Linked DNA regions of Arabidopsis thaliana. The protein of the gene in region 1 purifies or fractionates together with the protein of each later gene. This does not show direct contact. Each region holds a gene or a part of one and is shown on either strand. Other genes may lie near its edges.

Region 1 (8,824 bases):
AACATAATGTAACTTCCACACATACCTCACTTAAAGCCTCCAAGGCGATATAGCCATCTTCTGCCTGCATATCCAAATCATGCTTTAGGTCTCCAACTGCGCAGACAATATGTAAGTTAGCTGCATTTACATAAGATGTCAATCGTCTACAAACAGGGTATTTCTCCAAATATAGAGCAATCACACATCAACCATACAGAACGCCATGAATTAAATATACCATCTATCCAGTGCATATGTAGCTTATGAGAGTGTTCTGTTGATTTCTTGTCACCTCCCTCTGATGATGTATCACCTCCAATGTCAAATATGACTGCAACACGATTCCCATTCACCTCATAGACCTCTCCACGTTGTCCACTAGATAATGGCCTGTAGGTATAGAAATTTTGGTTAAAGACAAACCCTAGGGCATTTACAATCCTTCATCCATAATATTTAGCATGCCATGGAAGTTTATAACTTCCAGAGCAATGAGTTCAAAATGTGTTCCTAAAAGATCAAATGTTACATTTGCAGGCATGTCAAATTGCTGAGAAAACCATGGATAGTGATGATAATGGTAAGCACGCAAAAACAAGTCATTTAGTTAAGCAAAGGTAATGCGAGTTGCACTGTTCACAAATAAATGAATAAGTCCTATAGATAACAATTGTGGCAGCAGTTTCATACACATCCAATCCTATACCAGAACTACTCAAATTACTACTAATATGAATAGGCAGAGCAAGCAGAGATCAAGTCAAATAATATGAGACAGAGTCATAAAAGATATTAGAGCGTAATATTCTTCAGCAAGGTTAGAGAATAATTATCACACAAGTGAATCAGTAAACTACCTGTGCTTTGCATCAGCCTTCTTAGAAGGTCCAACATATTTTACACGATCTCCTGCAAAAAGCGTAAACACAAATAGAAATGAGGAAAAGTGAAAAAATTGACCACACAAAGAGAACTTAGCAGTCTGACAAGTAGAAGAGGAAAGAGTGAAAGGCTAAGATAGAAAGACAATACCAGGAAAATTATGACTAGATAGAATACAAAATTACTAAATCAAACTTATTTAGCAAACTGATACATTCAAGTGTACCTAGCACTTGTAATGATGAAGATGCCTTCCAGAGCCTTGATATTGATGATTACCTTTCTTTGCCGGTCGCCTGGCTTTATCAGAATGCTCAACAGCTGCTGCTTCGCAAGCTTCACCATGTAGTTCTTCTGCTACTAGCTGCCACAATTTAGAGGAGGTAAGCAAATTTCAGCAATTTCTGAAACTCAATTTAATTGGAAGTTCAAAAAAGGAACAATGCAAAGAGTCGCATGTAGAACCAAGAAACAGCATTCAAACGGCAGGAATGGTGAAACCTTCTAATTCATGCATAGTAACTCTAATAACAAGTTCATACAAATAAGATAAATCAAGAATCAGAAAACTTATATGACAGGGTCCCAAGATCACATTGTCCACGGGGTATCGCAAAAAGAAAAAGAAATACCATGGTATTACCAACTAAATTAGGAAAAGAACAATCAGTACAGACTAAAATTTCTGAATCTCAATTAATGCAATCATACCTTTTCGAACTCTTCAAGTTTTGGCACAATTTTCTTGATAGCTTCCTCAGAAACCTCGAGACAAGCTTCCTCACTGTCACTCCCATCTGCTTTCGCTTCAGAATCCTCTTCGCTCTGAGCACTAGAATCTTCCTCAGCATCAGACTCTGTCGTGGATTCATCTGCTTCCGCTTCTGCGTTCTCACCATCAGATTCAGATTCTTCATTGTAGTCATCAGCAAAATCCTGATCCAGAATTAAAAAATATTACATAAACACCAAAAAGAACGAAAGAAAAATGGTGGCATGTTATAGGCAAATTACTCATAAGAATCTCACATATGGGGCAAGAACGCTGCTGTCAAGAACCAACAGGGGAACTTGTACATCTCGAGCAAGTGCTCGTACCAACCTCTCCCGGTAAAGCTCAGTACCTGAATAAAATTCAAATTTCTTATTGGTCATCTAACATTTCCTCAATATTTTTACTTGATAACAGAAGAGCAACATCAAATCCTGGTCTGCCATTTTTATTCTATAGTCAATAACAAACCTGGAACACTCTGGAGCAATATTCTTCCACTTGAAGAATCTAAACGGGCACCATATATGGAAGCGGCATTCTTTTGTCTTATATGTGAGGTAACACATTCCACCAAAATATCTTTCGTGTGGTCGCTGTGAAAAGATAATGAGCAGAATCCATAAGCAGAAATGGAGAAAGAAACACAACAAGCGAGAAAAAAAAACATGTTGTAGATTATTACTGGATGTAGTAAGGGAAGGTCTCCCAAGAAAGCTGTATTTTTTCCCAAGGTTGGATTCTCCGTAAGAACTCGTTTTTGAATCTTTCTCGTCTATTAACGAAAGGTGACTCCTTCTTTTTGCATTCACTAGCAAGCTTCTCATTATTGAGCCATTCTATTTGGTCTTGTTCTCCAAGTTGAGCATGAGAATCCAAATGCCCAACACCGTTATTACTTTTCTCCTTCCCGGTTTTTCCATCATCTACACCATTCTCTTTGTTCAAAGAGATATGTTTATCCTCACTAGCATTCCTTCCATCACCCTCAGAACTAAAACTACGCAACTGGCTATTCTTCAAAATACTTAAATGATTTCCCGAGGCAATAGTACCACCGCGGGGAGAAAATGAACCAAGTAGAGACTTTCTTGTCAAATTTTCACTATTGGTTAATTTATTTGTGAATCCACAATATCTGGAAACCGTATAGTCACGAACGACTGGCCTAACTAAGTACTTGGCTTGCTGCAATACCAAACCCCATCTCTGGTTCCTCTTTAATGCCCTTGTATACATCACAAAGTCCCTTCTCTTCCAATATAACTACAAAAAAAAAAACAGAGATCATTGATTTAGAATCACTTTCAGGGTCCATTTCTTGTACTATCCAACCTAAATGCATTGCAACATGTAATTGCACCATTAAAAAAAAAAAAAAACGAGATCAATATCAACGCAAAACATACTATAGTAACTCGGAAAGAAACATAGATTCTATACAATTTATTTCGACTAGAGGAATAACAACACACTTCAGGGAATTAATTGATTAAGAACAGACATCAATTAAAATGAACGATTATGACGCATAACGGAAAATCCAATGTAACAACGAATATGAGGCATCGATATAGAAATGATGATATATTCAGCTTTTGTCATCCATAACTATTACAAAACACGAACCGTTTAACAGAGATGGACAACAAAACTGGTTCTATTCATCCCCCAAGCTCTAAGAATCAGGCTTGGTGCAAAGAGGAGATGTAATTAGGAACGAGATAGGGTGAAGAAGAGAGAGAAAATCCCGACAGAGGAGAGAGAGATAAAGACCGATCTAAAGTCTGTAGGTTCTTCTTCTGAAGCTGAAGCTGGGTTCGAAGTTCAGCTTCGTTGATGCAGTGTTGTCGTTTTGACGCAAAATTGCTACTTGCCTTCCTATGGATATGGGCCTAACTATAAAGGCCCACTAAACATATAAGAGTCGGTATTTTCCTGACAAAAAAGCCCTAACAAGTTGTCGGATTTACAATCGTACCCCTATTTTTAAGCCGCGCTTATCTCGAACCTATACCTGTAGAGAGGAAATAAGCATTTGGGGGAAATCAATCGAAAACCCTAGGAGAGATAAAAACAAAAATCTAGACGGAGATTTATGGCGACAGCGAATCCTGGCCGTGGAGGTGGTAGAAGAGGCGGTGGAGCTATGGATGACGATAAGTTGGTCTTCGAGACTACCGATGGAATTGAGCCCATCACGAGCTTCAATGATATGGGCATTAAGGAAGATGTGCTTCGCGGTGTCTACGAATATGGATTCGAGAAGCCTTCCGCGATTCAGCAGAGGGCTGTTATGCCGATTCTTCAAGGACGTGATGTTATTGCTCAAGCTCAGTCCGGTACCGGGAAGACATCTATGATTGCTCTCTCCGTTTGTCAAGTCGTTGATACTTCTTCTAGAGAGTATGTTTTCTGTTCCTTTAGCTGGATTAAACCCTTCATTTCAATTTTGAACTTTACTTGCTTTGCTCGGATTGTTCTCTAACCTAAATCATTAGGTTTTGTTTCTTATCGATTTCACAAATTTGGTGGGATTTGTTTGTCTGACTTGTAGAATAGATGAACGAATTATGATTCATTAATGTTCAATCAAAATGACAATGAAAATTTGTGATAGTTATTAGCTTTTCGGTTAGAGTGATTGAGTAATACTTTCTTTTAGGCTGCAAGATCTTTTTATATGTGTACTCATGTATTTGGTATCTCGGACTGCAGGGTTCAGGCCTTGATATTATCCCCAACAAGAGAGCTGGCTACACAAACAGAGAAGACGATACAAGCTATTGGATTACATGCCAATATTCAGGCACATGCTTGCATCGGTGGGAATAGTGTTGGAGAAGACATCAGGAAGCTGGAGCATGGTGTTCATGTTGTGTCTGGGACACCTGGTCGTGTCTGTGACATGATAAAGAGGAGAAGTCTTCGTACCAGAGCTATTAAACTTCTGATTCTTGATGAATCAGATGAAATGCTGAGCAGAGGGTTCAAGGACCAGATCTATGATGTTTACAGATATCTTCCACCAGATCTTCAGGTGCAATTTCACTGCTCAATATTATGTGTTGGCTAACTTCTAGTTTCTTTGGATGTTATTGCATTAGCTTTCTTATTTTATGGATTGGCTTCTTGAACTCTATGTGGATTGAGAGAATTATAAGTTGTTAAAAACCTTTTAGCCACTGTTAAGTTGCTTGAATGTCTTATGTGTAGATTTGGTAGCTATTATCTGTATTATGAACAGCTAAATTCCACTCTATAATAGTTCAATCCTAATACGTTTTTTTTGTAGGTTTGCTTGGTTTCTGCAACTCTTCCTCACGAGATTTTGGAGATGACATCCAAGTTTATGACAGAACCAGTGAAGATACTTGTGAAGCGTGATGAGTTGACTCTTGAAGTATGTTTCTTCTTATGCTTCTGTATGCTCGTTCATGTTTACTTTTACAGTAGGTTGACACTCATATTCTTCATTGGCTATCTTTTTGTGTACAATCTTTTCAGGGAATCAAACAATTTTTTGTTGCTGTTGAGAAGGAAGAGTGGAAATTTGATACACTCTGTGATCTTTATGACACGCTTACTATCACTCAAGCTGTTATCTTCTGCAATACTAAACGAAAGGTAATTGTGGTTCTCATGCAACTGTATCTCAAACTTGTTAACATTAAGCTTCTAGCACTGCTATCTGAACTTGATTTGCAATCTTGTAATTGCTCAAAAATTCATACTATCTTGTGAATATATGTATTTCTTTATTTCTAAAAGAAATTAACAATATAAGTCCACTGCGCTAGAGTACTTGCAACCTGTACTCACCTGCAGATATCTATTAGATTGCATTGGCTTTTAAAACCTTTTTCAATGTTTCTTGTAATTAGGGTTCTTGAATTATGGTTCCTTTTCTATATTTTACTCAACTCTAACTCCGCATTTGTTATAGGTGGATTATCTTAGTGAGAAAATGAGAAGTCACAACTTCACTGTCTCATCAATGCATGGAGACATGCCTCAGAAGGAGAGAGACGCCATCATGAATGAGTTTCGGTCAGGTGATAGTCGTGTTTTGATAACAACAGATGTATGGGCACGTGGGATTGATGTGCAACAAGTAAGTCATTACTTATCCGCTATATTTTGTCTAGATAACAATGCGCGGAATAAATTCAATCTCTGTTATTGAGGTCTCAGATTATGTTCCATTCTCTTATGGTAAAGGTGAATTGACATGACAATCTTTATTTAACAGGTTTCTCTTGTTATCAATTATGATCTCCCCAACAACCGTGAGCTCTACATCCATCGTATTGGGCGGTCTGGTCGATTCGGGCGTAAGGTAAGAAACTTTTTCTAATCTCTGCTTCTGAGCTTAATTTCTTAGCCTGGAGATACTAGATGGATATCTTTTAACCAATTTTGCGGTTATCTTTCTAGGGTGTTGCAATCAACTTTGTTAAAAGCGACGACATCAAGATTCTCAGAGACATTGAGCAGTACTACAGTACCCAGATTGATGAGATGCCAATGAATGTAGCTGATCTTATCTAAAAGAGCTTGTCTGAGATTTTTGTGCTTTCAGCGGGGAAGTGTCTGGATGAAAAAGTATTGTTGAGCGCTTCTGTCAAATTATTGCACTATCTTAACGGTGTATTTCCTTTGATGTTTCTGTGGGCTCTTTTGAACAAACTTAAACTCGCGTGTGGTAAATGTTTAATGACTTGAGAAGCGATTTAGGTTTAGGGTTTGGACCGTTTGGTTTTTCGTTTCCTCGTAATTGATTCTGGGGGCTTTGATTGTGGTTTGTGGGTCAAAACTCTCAACTATCACTACTTGTAAGACTTTTGCTCGACAGTTGAAACGGTTCATTGTTATCTTATTTCGTAAAGCTTGGATCATTGCAAAAATCAATCATTTGCAAAAGCAAAGCAAGTTGATGAAATTACTGGACATGACGTCGAGGTTTTTCGTATCGTGTGTTTCATTTGACGGAGTCAGGTGTCCTCGCTCGTTGGTTGATGGGTTGGGTGAAATTGATGAACGAAACCCAAAACCGGGTTAGGACCGAATTAGATTCACTAACTTAACAACACCAGGACCAATAACCGGAACTTAATAAATAAACGACCGTGGTTTTGTTTGTTTATTGGTAGTCAGCGACACGGAACTCATTAACTTTACTCTTCTCACTGGTCAATCGTCGGAGATAATCGGGTGATCGGCGATGGAGAATACGGACGTCTTCTTGGGGCTGCATGATTTCCTGGAGCGGATGCGCAAACCCTCCGCCGGCGATTTCGTCAAATCCATTAAAAGGTCCCATTTCTCCCTCTTTTGATGCAGATCCGGATATATGTGTGTGTTTCTATGTACGATCTTCCTCTTAGCTTAAGTGGATGTGCTTCTTAGCGGTTTACGTTTTTAAGTCCATTTTCAGTTGATGATGATACTATTTGAGCAAAATTCGTACTGATTTGAGATTTCTAATCATTTATTTATGCTTCTTCAATTGCTGTTACTGGGGAAGACAATTGGATCTTGTTAATAGGGTATAACAATTAGAAATTATTGATTTCATACTGGAATGGTTTGTTTATTGAGCATAGAAGTATTGTGGATAATGCGTGGTTAAGGATGTTTTTTGGTTGATGTTGCAGTTTCATTGTTTCATTCTCGAACAATGCACCAGACCCGGAAAAAGATTGTGCTATGGTTCAGGAGTTCTTTTCTAAGATGGAGGCTGCTTTCAGGGCTCATCCACTTTGGTCTGGTTGTTCTGAGGAGGAATTGGATAGTGCTGGAGATGTGAGTATCAGTATTCTTCTTTTTCTGTCTGTGAATTGTTTTCATCTTTGTACCATAATCATTGCTCGTTTGTATACACAGGGCCTGGAGAAGTATGTTATGACAAAGCTATTTACTCGGGTGTTTGCTTCAAACACTGAGGAGGTTATAGCTGATGAGAAGCTATTTCAGAAGATGTCATTGGTTCAACAATTCATTTCTCCCGAGAATTTGGATATACAACCAACTTTTCAAAATGAATCGTCATGGCTGGTAAGCCGATCTAGTCAAAAGCTAGCTCCCGGTAGTGTTTCCTCTTTTTGTTAGTGTTCTTACTTGTGATCCTTTCTCTCCTTTTGGCAGCTAGCTCAAAAAGAGCTCCAGAAGATAAACATGTACAAAGCTCCTCGTGATAAGCTTGTGTGTATCCTTAACTGTTGCAAAGTGATTAATAACTTACTGCTAAATGCTTCAATTGCTTCAAACGAGAATGCACCTGGAGCAGACGAATTTCTTCCTGTTTTGATATATGTAACAATAAAGGTATTGGGAACGATTGAACAACTTATGCATACTGGTATCTGAAGTCGTATTTTTGTTGTACATGATTATGTTTCGAATGTGCAAGAACATCTACTAGTGCTAATTCTGTTCTTTCTTTTTGCAGGCTAACCCTCCACAACTTCACTCAAACTTGTTGTATATACAAAGGTATAGGCGTGAATCTAAACTTGTTGGTGAAGCTGCGTACTTCTTCACAAACATACTCTCTGCAGAGTCTTTCATCTCAAATATTGATGCAAAATCTATTTCACTGGATGAAGCTGAGTTTGAAAAGAACATGGAATCTGCACGGGCACGAATTTCTGGTTTGGACAGCCAGACTTATCAAACTGGTCATGGCTCTGCACCACCCCCTCGTGATGAGTCCACTCTTCAGAAAACTCAAAGTCTGAATCCCAAGAGGGAAAACACTCTTTTCCAATCAAAATCGTCTGATAGTCTTTCTGGGACCAACGAATTACTGAATATAAACAGTGAAACACCAATGAAGAAAGCTGAATCCATTTCAGATTTGGAAAATAAGGGTGCGACGCTTCTGAAGGATACCGAGCCAAGCAAAGTCTTTCAAGAATATCCTTACATATTTGCCAGTGCTGGTGATTTGAGGATAGGAGATGTTGAAGGCTTGTTAAATAGTTATAAACAGCTCGTTTTCAAATATGTGTGCCTTACCAAAGGATTGGGTGATGGAACATCTTTAGCTCCATCCAGTTCACCCTTGCAAGCGTCGTCCGGTTTTAATACGTCTAAGGAATCTGAGGATCATAGAAGATCGTCTTCAGATGTACAAATGACAAAGGAAACTGACAGGAGTGTTGATGATTTGATCCGAGCTCTACA
Region 2 (4,557 bases), about 14 Mb from region 1:
ATAAGTTGTAGTAACCAATTGGTGCAGAACTGGACGGTTCATGGTCTTTACTGGGGTAGCTACAGGATCCATCAGCCCAATGTCCTTGAAGATTCCATCAAAGAGTTATTGTCATGGCTTTCCCGAGGATTGATCACTATTCACATCTCTCATACCTATAGCCTCTCCCAGGTGAAAACATTAACTCATCTTCATGACATCAAAACTCAAAACATGTAATTAAACACTTACCGTTTTGATTACAGGCCAATCTTGCATTCGGGGACCTCAAAGACAGGAAGGCAATTGGAAAAGTGATGATTGCTCTCGACCACAAGACTGCCCTGTCTTCAAAACTATAGACTCTTTATGGCCGTAGGAGAAAACAGCTTATGTATTCTAGAAATAAGGTTATTGCAATGGCCATGTAAGCTGAACCATCTTGCATTTATATCTGGCATATAATCCACATTCTGATTTGAAATTTCAATAAACGTTATCGAATTGCAGTTTGATTTTCTCTAGAAATTAGTGTAGTTATAAATCCTTTTTGTATATACATTGTTCCAATCAAGAATACATTTTCCTTCAATCAAGTAAAGCTTGCATCCTCCTCCAGCTCCCTGGCCTTGAACTTCTCTTTTACCCTCAACAACATTGTTGTCATGATCAAGAACCAGACAGAGTTTACATCCAAATAGTTGCATGTGGTTTACTGCCCATACCAGTGGACTCACGCTATCAATTTCCTTGGAAACGTCTGTGAACTTTGCAATGTCTTCTTCATCGATAGCAGAAGCAAGGTCCTGTTCATGAGAATAAATGTACAACACTTAACATACTTTATGTAAGCTACTCCCCAATTTCTTACAACACCAGAGTTTAAACTTTACCGCTAAGAACTTGCATTCCCGTGTTCCTGAAAAAGTCGGATCCAGATCCTGCAAGAAAGTACAAGTTAGAACACATGTCATAGTTACTCAAAGGACCACGCCAGGATGCTGATGTTAAGGCTGTTTGCTGTGGAAGAAGAAGAACCTGATATTTCTCCAGTGCATTAGTGATGGAAACAACATCAGCTTTGCATAAGTGGCACATGCCAGCAGTGAGAAGATGGCCTTTAACTCCATACTTAAGCAACTTATTGTTGAGTGAATGGCGTGCCTGTGTCTTCATAAATCTGGATTGCCTTCTCATACCTATCAAAGATACAACAGCAAGCCTATTATCAATCAATCAATCCGCCCCAAAGTAGAGAAGGGGCTATAATCCATGTGCTCATGTGTAGAGAACAACAACATTATTCCAAACAATGTCAAATTTGTGGTTTGAAAATTCGATTTTAACATGGTCCCATCTCAGTACTGTAAGTACGTCAATACCAGAGGATGAGAAAGCCAAAAAAAGGTCAGGTGCCGAAAATCTTACTGCTCTAGCTGGGAAGCATATTGTGCAACCTTTAGATTGCACTGGTTTGCAGAGGTGGTCACTTCTTCTATTTGAAAGAATTCAGCTGCCGTTTCATAGTAAGCAATAGCTTGCTCGAACATCTCATCAGATTCATAATACTCAGCAATTTCCTGTCAAAAGTAAATGACAATGTACACATTAGTACAAATACAGAAAGTCAGTACCAAGCTTACTATATATACTGTAGAAAAAAAGAAACAAATCCGACAGGATCCAACATGCATAAACAACACGAACCATGGAGAAGATGCTGAAGAAGTGCCTCCCCCTCAATAAAACTATCTTCTCACTATCCGTACTAAAAGAGTAACAGTATCTAATTCATACTCAAAAGAGACATGTAGTACATTGTAATATCTTGCAGCCATGTTGAGCCTTACTATCTATCTCACAAAATATATTCGCCGCTCTCTCTAGACAAGATGCAGCCTCTGCATATAATAAGGTCATGGTTATATTTGGACGCGATAAACATGCATAGCGAAAGGAAAACACACAAGAGTTGATAATCAGTCCTGTAGTACATATATGTCAATTAAAATCTAAAAAGCTGTTGCTACATGATCCATACATTCGTCCATTATCATATATGTGTTTGCCAAAGAATTTGCCTTTAAGTGACAATCGGCAAGTTTTAGATAAGCTATTCCAGCTTGATCCCCTGAAGAATCACAAATCAAACACATAAGCAAGAAGATACTTATCAATGACTTTACTATAAGGCCAAAAACCATCATTATCGAGTAATCTAAATGTTGAGTATCCAATTTATAATTCCCACATATCAAAGAGGCCTAAAATCAACTTCTCACAACACCATGGAAGGATCACCACAATTGCTAAACCAAAGATCAATCAAAAGTCTCAAGTTTCACCTTTTCTTCCTCATCATCATCACAAATCAATCAGATGAAACAAAAATCAAGGCCGGCTGATTATTATTTATGGAAATTACATGATTTGGCAAGCTTATAGGAATCACGTGCTTTCTCGAGCAGATCAGCAGCATCCTCGTACTTAGTGTCGAATCTTCTCCGTCTGTTAAGCTTCTTCTCAGCTTTCTTCTGAAAGTAGTAGCAACTGCTTGAAGAAGAGAAAGTGATATCAAACAACAACAAGAGTTGGCGGCGAGCGATGGTAGCTGAAGCGGCTCGCGTGATGGTTCTCTGTTTTGAGTATTGCAGAGTTCCGATGAATGAGAGATGGGCTTCGTGTCTCCTTTTGGGCCTGAAACAGCTGCAGTGTTGTTGTGAGAGATTGAAGTCTCTGCTTGAGTTGGAGACTCTTGTTGTTTGATATCTTATCAAGTTCCTCAGCTCTATGAAAAGTGGGTAAAAAAAACCCTCACCTTTTACAAAAAACATGTACAAAACCCTCAACTTTTTTGGTGGGTTTTTAAACCCTTCCCTTTTTTTCTTTGATAACTCAATGCCCAGACCACACAGTGATCTAACTAGTCTACTGGGGCTAAGCCCGCGACCAGAGATTTTTAAGCATCCATTTAAGGGATTTTTTGGTGGGTTTTTAAACCCTTCCCTTTTAAAAAATAATAAAATAACACTTACTATTATTAAACCAACTAAACTATTATATTAAAACATAAAATAAAACAAGTTAGTTTGTAATTTATACTTTCCAAATTGGAGTTTTTGATATTTTTTCAGAATTTAGTTGTTGTTTTTTGACGATATAAAAAAATAAGTTTCAATTAGAATTTGTTATGTAAACTAAAATCAATTTATAGCTTAGCACATTTTATTTTATTTTACTTCATATGTTTTCTAACTTTTGAAGTTTTGGATTTAAAATGAAGAAAATTATTAACATAATTTTGTTCTAAAGTTGTGTGACTGAACAAAAAAAAAATTCTTAATATTTCTTTTCTTCTTGAACATATAAAACAAAGGTTTCGCATTACCAAAAAATTTCAGAATAAGAATTATTCAGCCTATCTTATCGTATTTCCAAAAAAGATCTCGAGAAGATCTCGGAGAATCTTAACAACAAATGAAAAGAAAATATATTATCATTATTTTGTGCAAAAGATTGCACTCCTCCTTCCTTTCCATCTTTATTACCTGATGCGTAAAGATATCTAATGGAAGAAGAGCTCTCGCCTGCTTCTATAAGACCTGTTTTACTAACAGGACAGTTTAGTATTTCAAGATGTTTTAATTCTTTGCATCCTTTACCAATTGCTTGGAGACCGTGATCCGTAACATTGGTAGCATACTCTAGTGTTATTTCAACAAATCTATATACAGAACAAGCACATGTATCACGGTCAGTTTATGTGCAACATCAAATATTCAATTAGAAATTTTTGATAAAACAAAATTGAAAATTCTCGTAAATGACGTAAAAGAAAAAAGAATAATAATGCAATCAAAACTAGCATTTACAAGCAAAAATTTCTAAAAGAATAATAATATAATTTGTGTTAATCACACCATAGAAAGTATTTTGAGCAAGGGGAATTAATAAAATCAATGCATCATTAAAATTGCTTAAATTTAATGCATCATTAACTATTATGTAAAAAAAAACCACATAAAATTTTTAATATATGTAAATTTTATATAAAAAAAAAAAGATTGCTTAAACCACAAGCTAGCGACTTGTGAGTTTAACAAAAAGTCGTAAAATCCAATGGAATCTGGTGACGACAAGGCACCTAATACTTTTTTTTTTTTTTTAACTCTGGCACCTAATACTTTTAAAGCATCTCCATTGCATAATTTTCTATATTGTCTCTATAAAATTAAAGTTACTAAATATTAATAATTAAATGTATAAGTCTTTAAATTAAATGGAGAAATCCGGTTCTGTAACCTTGAAATGACCATGTAAGCTGAACCATCTTGCATTTGTTATATCTGTCCTATAATCAACATTCTGATTTGAAATTTTAATAAACGTAATCGAATTGCAGTTTGATTCTCTGTAGAAATTAGTGTTATAACCAAAAAAAAATCCTTTTTGTATATACATTGTTCCAATCAAGAATACATTTTCCTTCAATCAAGTAAAGCTTGGAAGAATAAAATCGTATGCGGTTTCACCAAATCTATATACAGAGCCAATTGTTATGTACATAAAACTCAAACC
Region 3 (5,402 bases), about 14 Mb from region 1:
ACAATCTCAAGCGGTTTCACTGAAAACATCCGTGGATGTTTTCTTGCCGGAGAACAACAATGTCAAGAAGACAAACACTTGTGATTTTCATGCTTCAGGAGGATACTCCAATATCTCATTCAAAGTTTTCAAAGCGGATGCTCTCATCGCCGGGGTAGGGGTAAAAGTTAAAAACCCATACTTATTAAGAAATTTGCAATTTTTATACATTGGTGAAGGATTGAAATCCTTATATTGCAGGTAACACATAAGTTTACATGGGGAAGTTTCTGCAAAGGGAAATATAACTTTAAGGTGAGAGTAAATCCAGAGGTTGATTATGCTTTTATCATTGCTTTGCTTGTCATGGTCGATGACAACGAGAATTGGTGTTAGTATATTGTCTGTCCTCAATCTCTTTGTTTAGTGGTTCCTTTCACAATTTATTGGTGTATATGTGTTCATTTCTCAAGATATATGTATGTAAGAATATTTTTTCCATGTAATGTGCAATCTTGCTGGCCCAAATGTTTATTTTTCATAAAAGCGTGCAATCAAAGATATATAGAGCAAGAAAACATGAATCAAAACACTACAAATTGTCGTTAACAGGAAGAAAAAGCACACGTTTATTAGATAGATGTAGACGTAAAAGCAAACAAATAATCGAGACATGATCCTCTCGATGCATCAAATAATCGCTGAACGAAGAAGACTCTCCACAGATGTTTAACCAATATAAAAAAAACTCCAGACTTGAGTAGTTCCCATAAATGAAGTGACGAGACGCAGAGAACAATTGTAGACGTCGATACCAAACAAACCCAATTTGACCAAACCTCTTAAGAAACTTTAAAACTCAAAACCAGACACAATAAAATCAAAGAAGAGTCGGACATGAAGTAACGGACATAGTGACAATACAACCCGGGAATGAATAAAAAGCAACGCTCTGGATAAATATGTCTATGTAAGGTCATCCTCCTCTAGCTCCTTGGCCTTGAGCTTCTCCTTCACCCTCAACAACATGGTTGTCTTCCATGAATCCTGCATTAACACCAATTCCATGATCAAGAACCAGGTAGAGTTAAAGAGAGATTTTATTCAAATAGCTGTATATGGTTTACAGCCCATACCAGTGGAGTCATGCTATCAAACTCCTTGACAACATCTGTGAACTTTGCGATGTCTTCTTCATCGATAGCAGAAGCAAGGTCCTGTTCATATGAATAAATGTACAAAACTTAACATACTTTATGTAAGCTGCTCCACAACTTCTTGAAAAAACGGAAGTTTAAACTTTACCGCTAAGAACTTGCATTCCCGTGTTCCAGTAAAAGTTGGATCCAGATCCTGCAAGAAAGTAGAAGTTAGAAAACATGTCATAGTTGCTCAAAGGACCACACCAGAATGTTTATGTTACGGGTGTTTGTTGTGGAAGAAGAAGAACCTGATACTTCTCCAGAGCGTTAGTGATGGAAACAACATCGGCTTTGCATAAGTGGCACATGCCAGCAGTGAGAAGATGGCCCTTAACTCCATACTTGAGCAAGTTATTGTTGAGTGAATGGCGTGCTATGTCTTCATAAATCTTGATTGCCTTCTCATACCTACCAAAGATACAACAACAAGCCTATTATCAATCAATCGGTCCCAAAGTAGAGAAAAGGCTATAATTGCTGTGCTCATGCATACTGCATAGAGAACATCACAATTCCATACAATGACAAGTTTGTGGATTGACAATTCGATTTTAACAGGGTTCCATCTGAGTACTATAAGCACTTCAATGCTAAGGGATGAGAAAGCAAAAAGAAAGGTAATGTGCCGAAAATCTTACTGCTCCAGCTGGGCGGCATATTGCGCAACCTTTAGATTGCACTGGTTTGCAGAAGTGGTCACTTCTTCATTCTGAAAGAATTCAGCTGCCTTTTCAAAGTAAGCAATAGCCTGCTCGAACTTCTGATCAGATTCATAATACTCAGCAATTTCCTGTCAAAAGTAAAAAACCATTAATGTACAAATTAGTCCAAATACAGCAAGTCAGCACCATGCTTACTTTAGTTTAGAAAAGGAAAAAGACAATCTGAATCCGACTGAACATGCATAAAGAAACAGGAACCATGGAGGAAATACAGAAGAAGTGCCCCAATAAAACTATCTTCTCAGTATCCGTACTAAAAGAATAATATCTAATTCATGCTCAAAAGAGACAAGTGGTACCTTGTAATATCTTGCAGCCATGTTGAGCCTTCCTATCTCACAAAATATATTCACCGCTCGCTCTAGGCAAGACGCAGCCTCTGCATATAATATTAGGACGCATGAAAACACATAAGAATTCATAATCACTCTTGCATTACAGAGATGACAATTACAAAAGTAGCTTTATACATACCATTAGTGTCAACTTTCTTGTAGCATTTAGCAGCCTCAGCATAGGCGTTAGCAGCATCATGTTTGCTATCTGACTGCAGATGCAATCATGCAAATCAATGTTATCAAACAATCCACACATTAGTCCAGTATCATATATATGTGTTGCCAAAGAATTAACCTTTAAGTGACAGTCGGCAAGTTTTAGATAAGCTTTTCCAGCTTGATCCCCTGAACAATCACAAATGCAACACATAAGTAAGAAGATAGCGTTGGAGAATTAAACAAATATCAGAAAAGAACATGAAACCTATTAAACTCAGCCAAATAGAACCCAAATTAGGTACTATAATTGTGCCACTTATCAATGACTTGCTAGAAGGCCAGAAACCAATATCAAGGAATCAGAATGATGAATCTCCGATTTAAAATGTTTTCGTATGAAATTATCAACCATAAATTTCTTACAGATCAAAATAGACCTAATATAAACCCAGATACTAATTCTACTTCTCACATGACCATAGACAAATCACCGCAACTGATAAACCTAAGATCAAACGTTTCAAATTTCACCTTTTTTTTCTTCCTCATCATCACAAAGAACAACAATAAAAAAAAACACGACACCAATCCGATGAAACAATAATCAAAAGCAAAGAAATTTTATTTATGGAAATTACATGATTTGGCGAGCTTATAGGAATTAGCTGCTTTTTCGAGCAGATCAGCAGCATCCTCGTACTTAGATCCGAATATTCCCCATCCATTGAGCTTTTTCTCAGCTTTCTTCTCGAATTCCTCAGCTCTCACCAGATGATCCCCCATTCCTTTTTTTTCCCCGAAACTCTGACTTGAAATTTGATCGTGTACTTCTTTACCTCCACAGACTCCGATTGCTTCTCTTTTCTTCGTCGAGAGAAATTGCTTTCGATTTGGATTATTCGCTGCGATGAAAGAGAGAGAGACGAGAATCGATCGAGAGCGAAAAATCAGAGACACGCTTCGATAGGGGAAAAGATTTTTCAACCGACTAAAGTGGGCCAAATTTGTCTATTTAAAATATGGGCTTTGTTTTGAAAAGCCCAAGTTAGCCCAATCAAAAGTTTTTCCGTACTTTGTTATTGGGTCGCTTTAACCAAGCTTAGAAAATATGGGATCAGGTTTATCAGTTGGGATTGAAGAAAAGCTTACATGAATTATCAAGTAAAACGATTTCCTGTTATATCTGCTCGTCCTTCTACATTCTTCATTAGCCATTATTATAGTTCTCAAATCACGACAAATATTGCTGACAGTTTCCACTAAACAAACCTATGTTCCAAAATGCACAAACTGGTAAAAACCTAGTATGTTTTAATATCAAACACATGAGTAACAACAATATCGGTTTTAATATCAAACACATGAATAACAACAATGGCTAAATAACAACCGTTACAAATCTATGAAATGTTCAATTTTTTAGCAAATCATTTCATGGGTAATCGGTAATTTTTTTGTCTTTTGTGAGTTGCAGAGGTAATCTTCTGTTGTTGGGCTTCTCGACATGTTGAATGGTATTGGGCTTAGTGTCTTGGCCCATAGCATTCTGTTTGGGAGACTCTGAGCTGAGCAGAGAGTTTGACCCAAGCTCTGTTGTTGTTGACTGAAGCTTCTCCTTTACACACAGAGATGATCTAAAATAAACTGTAACTTTGCAACGAGGGATTTCTGCGGCAATATTAATGTTGCTATCAGTCACATTCTATAATGTTAACTGAGTAACTTCAATATGATTCATATGAAATGATTAAATAAAAATAACTTTAGAAGACAGTGTTTAATTATTCTTATATTGTTTCGTTTATCACGTTTTCAATTATTCATTCGACATTCCGCATTCGCTGCCCTCTCGTTTTCTTGATGAAAAGTCTCGAACCGTCTGCTCTAAAGTTAGTTTATTACACGTGAGCCATCTTTGAGGCCGCCAATGATATGATTATATATTGGATTTTATTATATCCACGAAAATTTTAAATTATTTAGGAGTTTTTTTCTTTTTTGGACAACTTATATGAGATGAGAAGCGATGATACACATTTGGCCACTTTTTCGTCTAGATACATTCTTCGTGAAGAAATCCAAGTGCACACATTCATTAGTGTTGGACGGACCCATTTTATTTTGGATTTTTTTGTATAATTCTTTGGGGTTTTTTTGTTAATAATTCACTTCTGTCTATAATATGATTATGATTGTTCATCATATTTTAGCTGTAATTTCCTCTCTTGAACAAAATTATTATTTTCGTGATGTTTTTAAGTACGTGACGAAAGATCATTTGGTGATCTCACTGACATGATTTGCCCAGCCTGTCAGGTTTACCTATGGTCAAATATCATTTTCTCGATTTTGCCCCAAACGGTCAAGGCATATATCCCCAATCTTCAAAGGGTATTTATGTACTTTTCGCTATTAACCGTGTGGCTATATGAAGCCGATTCCTCATAACAACTACAAAAAAGGAAAGCTTCTTCCCGCCGGCAAATTCTTACGTTTCTCCGGCGGTTAGAAAAATGACACCACAGATCAAAACTCATCTCTTGCCGAAGCAAGAACCTTCTTCGTCTGAGAACCATGGATCATCAACCTCCGGCATCGTTTTCAACGTGTCAACGAGTATAATCGGAGCCGGAATAATGTCGATGCCGGCGGCGTTTAAAGTTCTTGGAATAGTTCCAGCGTTTTTGATTATCACGATCATAGCTTGGCTTTCCACAATTTCCGTTGGATTTCTGATGAAATCAACTCTCGCCGGAGAATCAACTACTTACGCCGGAGTTATGAAAGAGTCGTTTGGTAAAACAGGATCCATCGCTGTACAGATTGCTACGATGGTTGCTACTTTTGGTTGTATGATTATATTTTCGATTATTATAGGTAAAGTAATTTGATCTAATCATCTAAGTGTAGAGGTCTCAGCTACTATTTGAGCTTAAGAACAGATTGGCTGAGTTTGGATTTGTATGTGTTTACTCTCTCAGGAGATGTGCTTTCTGGTAATG

Evidence for each region.
Region 2: the proteins of EIF4A-III (region 1) and ALPHA-SNAP1 fractionate together in Arabidopsis thaliana (co-fractionation; one large-scale study listed by BioGRID). This does not show direct contact.
Region 3: the proteins of EIF4A-III (region 1) and ALPHA-SNAP2 fractionate together in Arabidopsis thaliana (co-fractionation; one large-scale study listed by BioGRID). This does not show direct contact.

The regions. Positions count from the first base shown.
Region 1 is NC_003074.8:6,860,056-6,868,879, forward strand, and holds EIF4A-III (eukaryotic initiation factor 4A-III), read left to right. Parts: upstream 1-3,605; 5' UTR 3,606-3,734; coding exon 3,735-4,042; intron 4,043-4,354; coding exon 4,355-4,676; intron 4,677-4,931; coding exon 4,932-5,039; intron 5,040-5,143; coding exon 5,144-5,263; intron 5,264-5,582; coding exon 5,583-5,750; intron 5,751-5,888; coding exon 5,889-5,975; intron 5,976-6,073; coding exon 6,074-6,187; 3' UTR 6,188-6,591; downstream 6,592-8,824. Other genes in the region: AT3G19740 (P-loop containing nucleoside triphosphate hydrolases superfamily protein), read right to left, coding at 26-96, 221-372, 840-891, 1,144-1,228, 1,576-1,800, 1,894-1,988, 2,108-2,232, 2,322-2,875; VPS9A (Vacuolar sorting protein 9 (VPS9) domain-containing protein), read left to right, coding at 6,861-6,952, 7,294-7,441, 7,523-7,693, 7,784-7,963, 8,088-8,824.
Region 2 is NC_003074.8:20,928,813-20,933,369, reverse strand, and holds ALPHA-SNAP1 (alpha-soluble NSF attachment protein 1), read right to left. Parts: upstream 2,814-4,557; coding exon 2,405-2,813; intron 2,111-2,404; coding exon 2,010-2,110; intron 1,560-2,009; coding exon 1,408-1,559; intron 1,387-1,407; exon of another isoform or gene 1,169-1,386; coding exon 1,018-1,168; intron 921-1,017; coding exon 873-920; intron 786-872; coding exon 501-785; downstream 1-500. Other genes in the region: AT3G56460 (GroES-like zinc-binding alcohol dehydrogenase family protein), read left to right, coding at 28-171, 246-341.
Region 3 is NC_003074.8:20,845,174-20,850,575, forward strand, and holds ALPHA-SNAP2 (alpha-soluble NSF attachment protein 2), read right to left. Parts: upstream 3,523-5,402; 5' UTR 3,184-3,522; coding exon 3,039-3,183; intron 2,587-3,038; coding exon 2,537-2,586; intron 2,451-2,536; coding exon 2,378-2,450; intron 2,283-2,377; coding exon 2,203-2,282; intron 1,972-2,202; coding exon 1,820-1,971; intron 1,590-1,819; coding exon 1,430-1,589; intron 1,333-1,429; coding exon 1,285-1,332; intron 1,197-1,284; coding exon 1,116-1,196; intron 1,027-1,115; coding exon 946-1,026; 3' UTR 501-945; downstream 1-500. Other genes in the region: AT3G56180 (LURP-one-like protein (DUF567)), read left to right, coding at 1-154, 241-375; AT3G56200 (Transmembrane amino acid transporter family protein), read left to right, coding at 4,914-5,277, 5,382-5,402.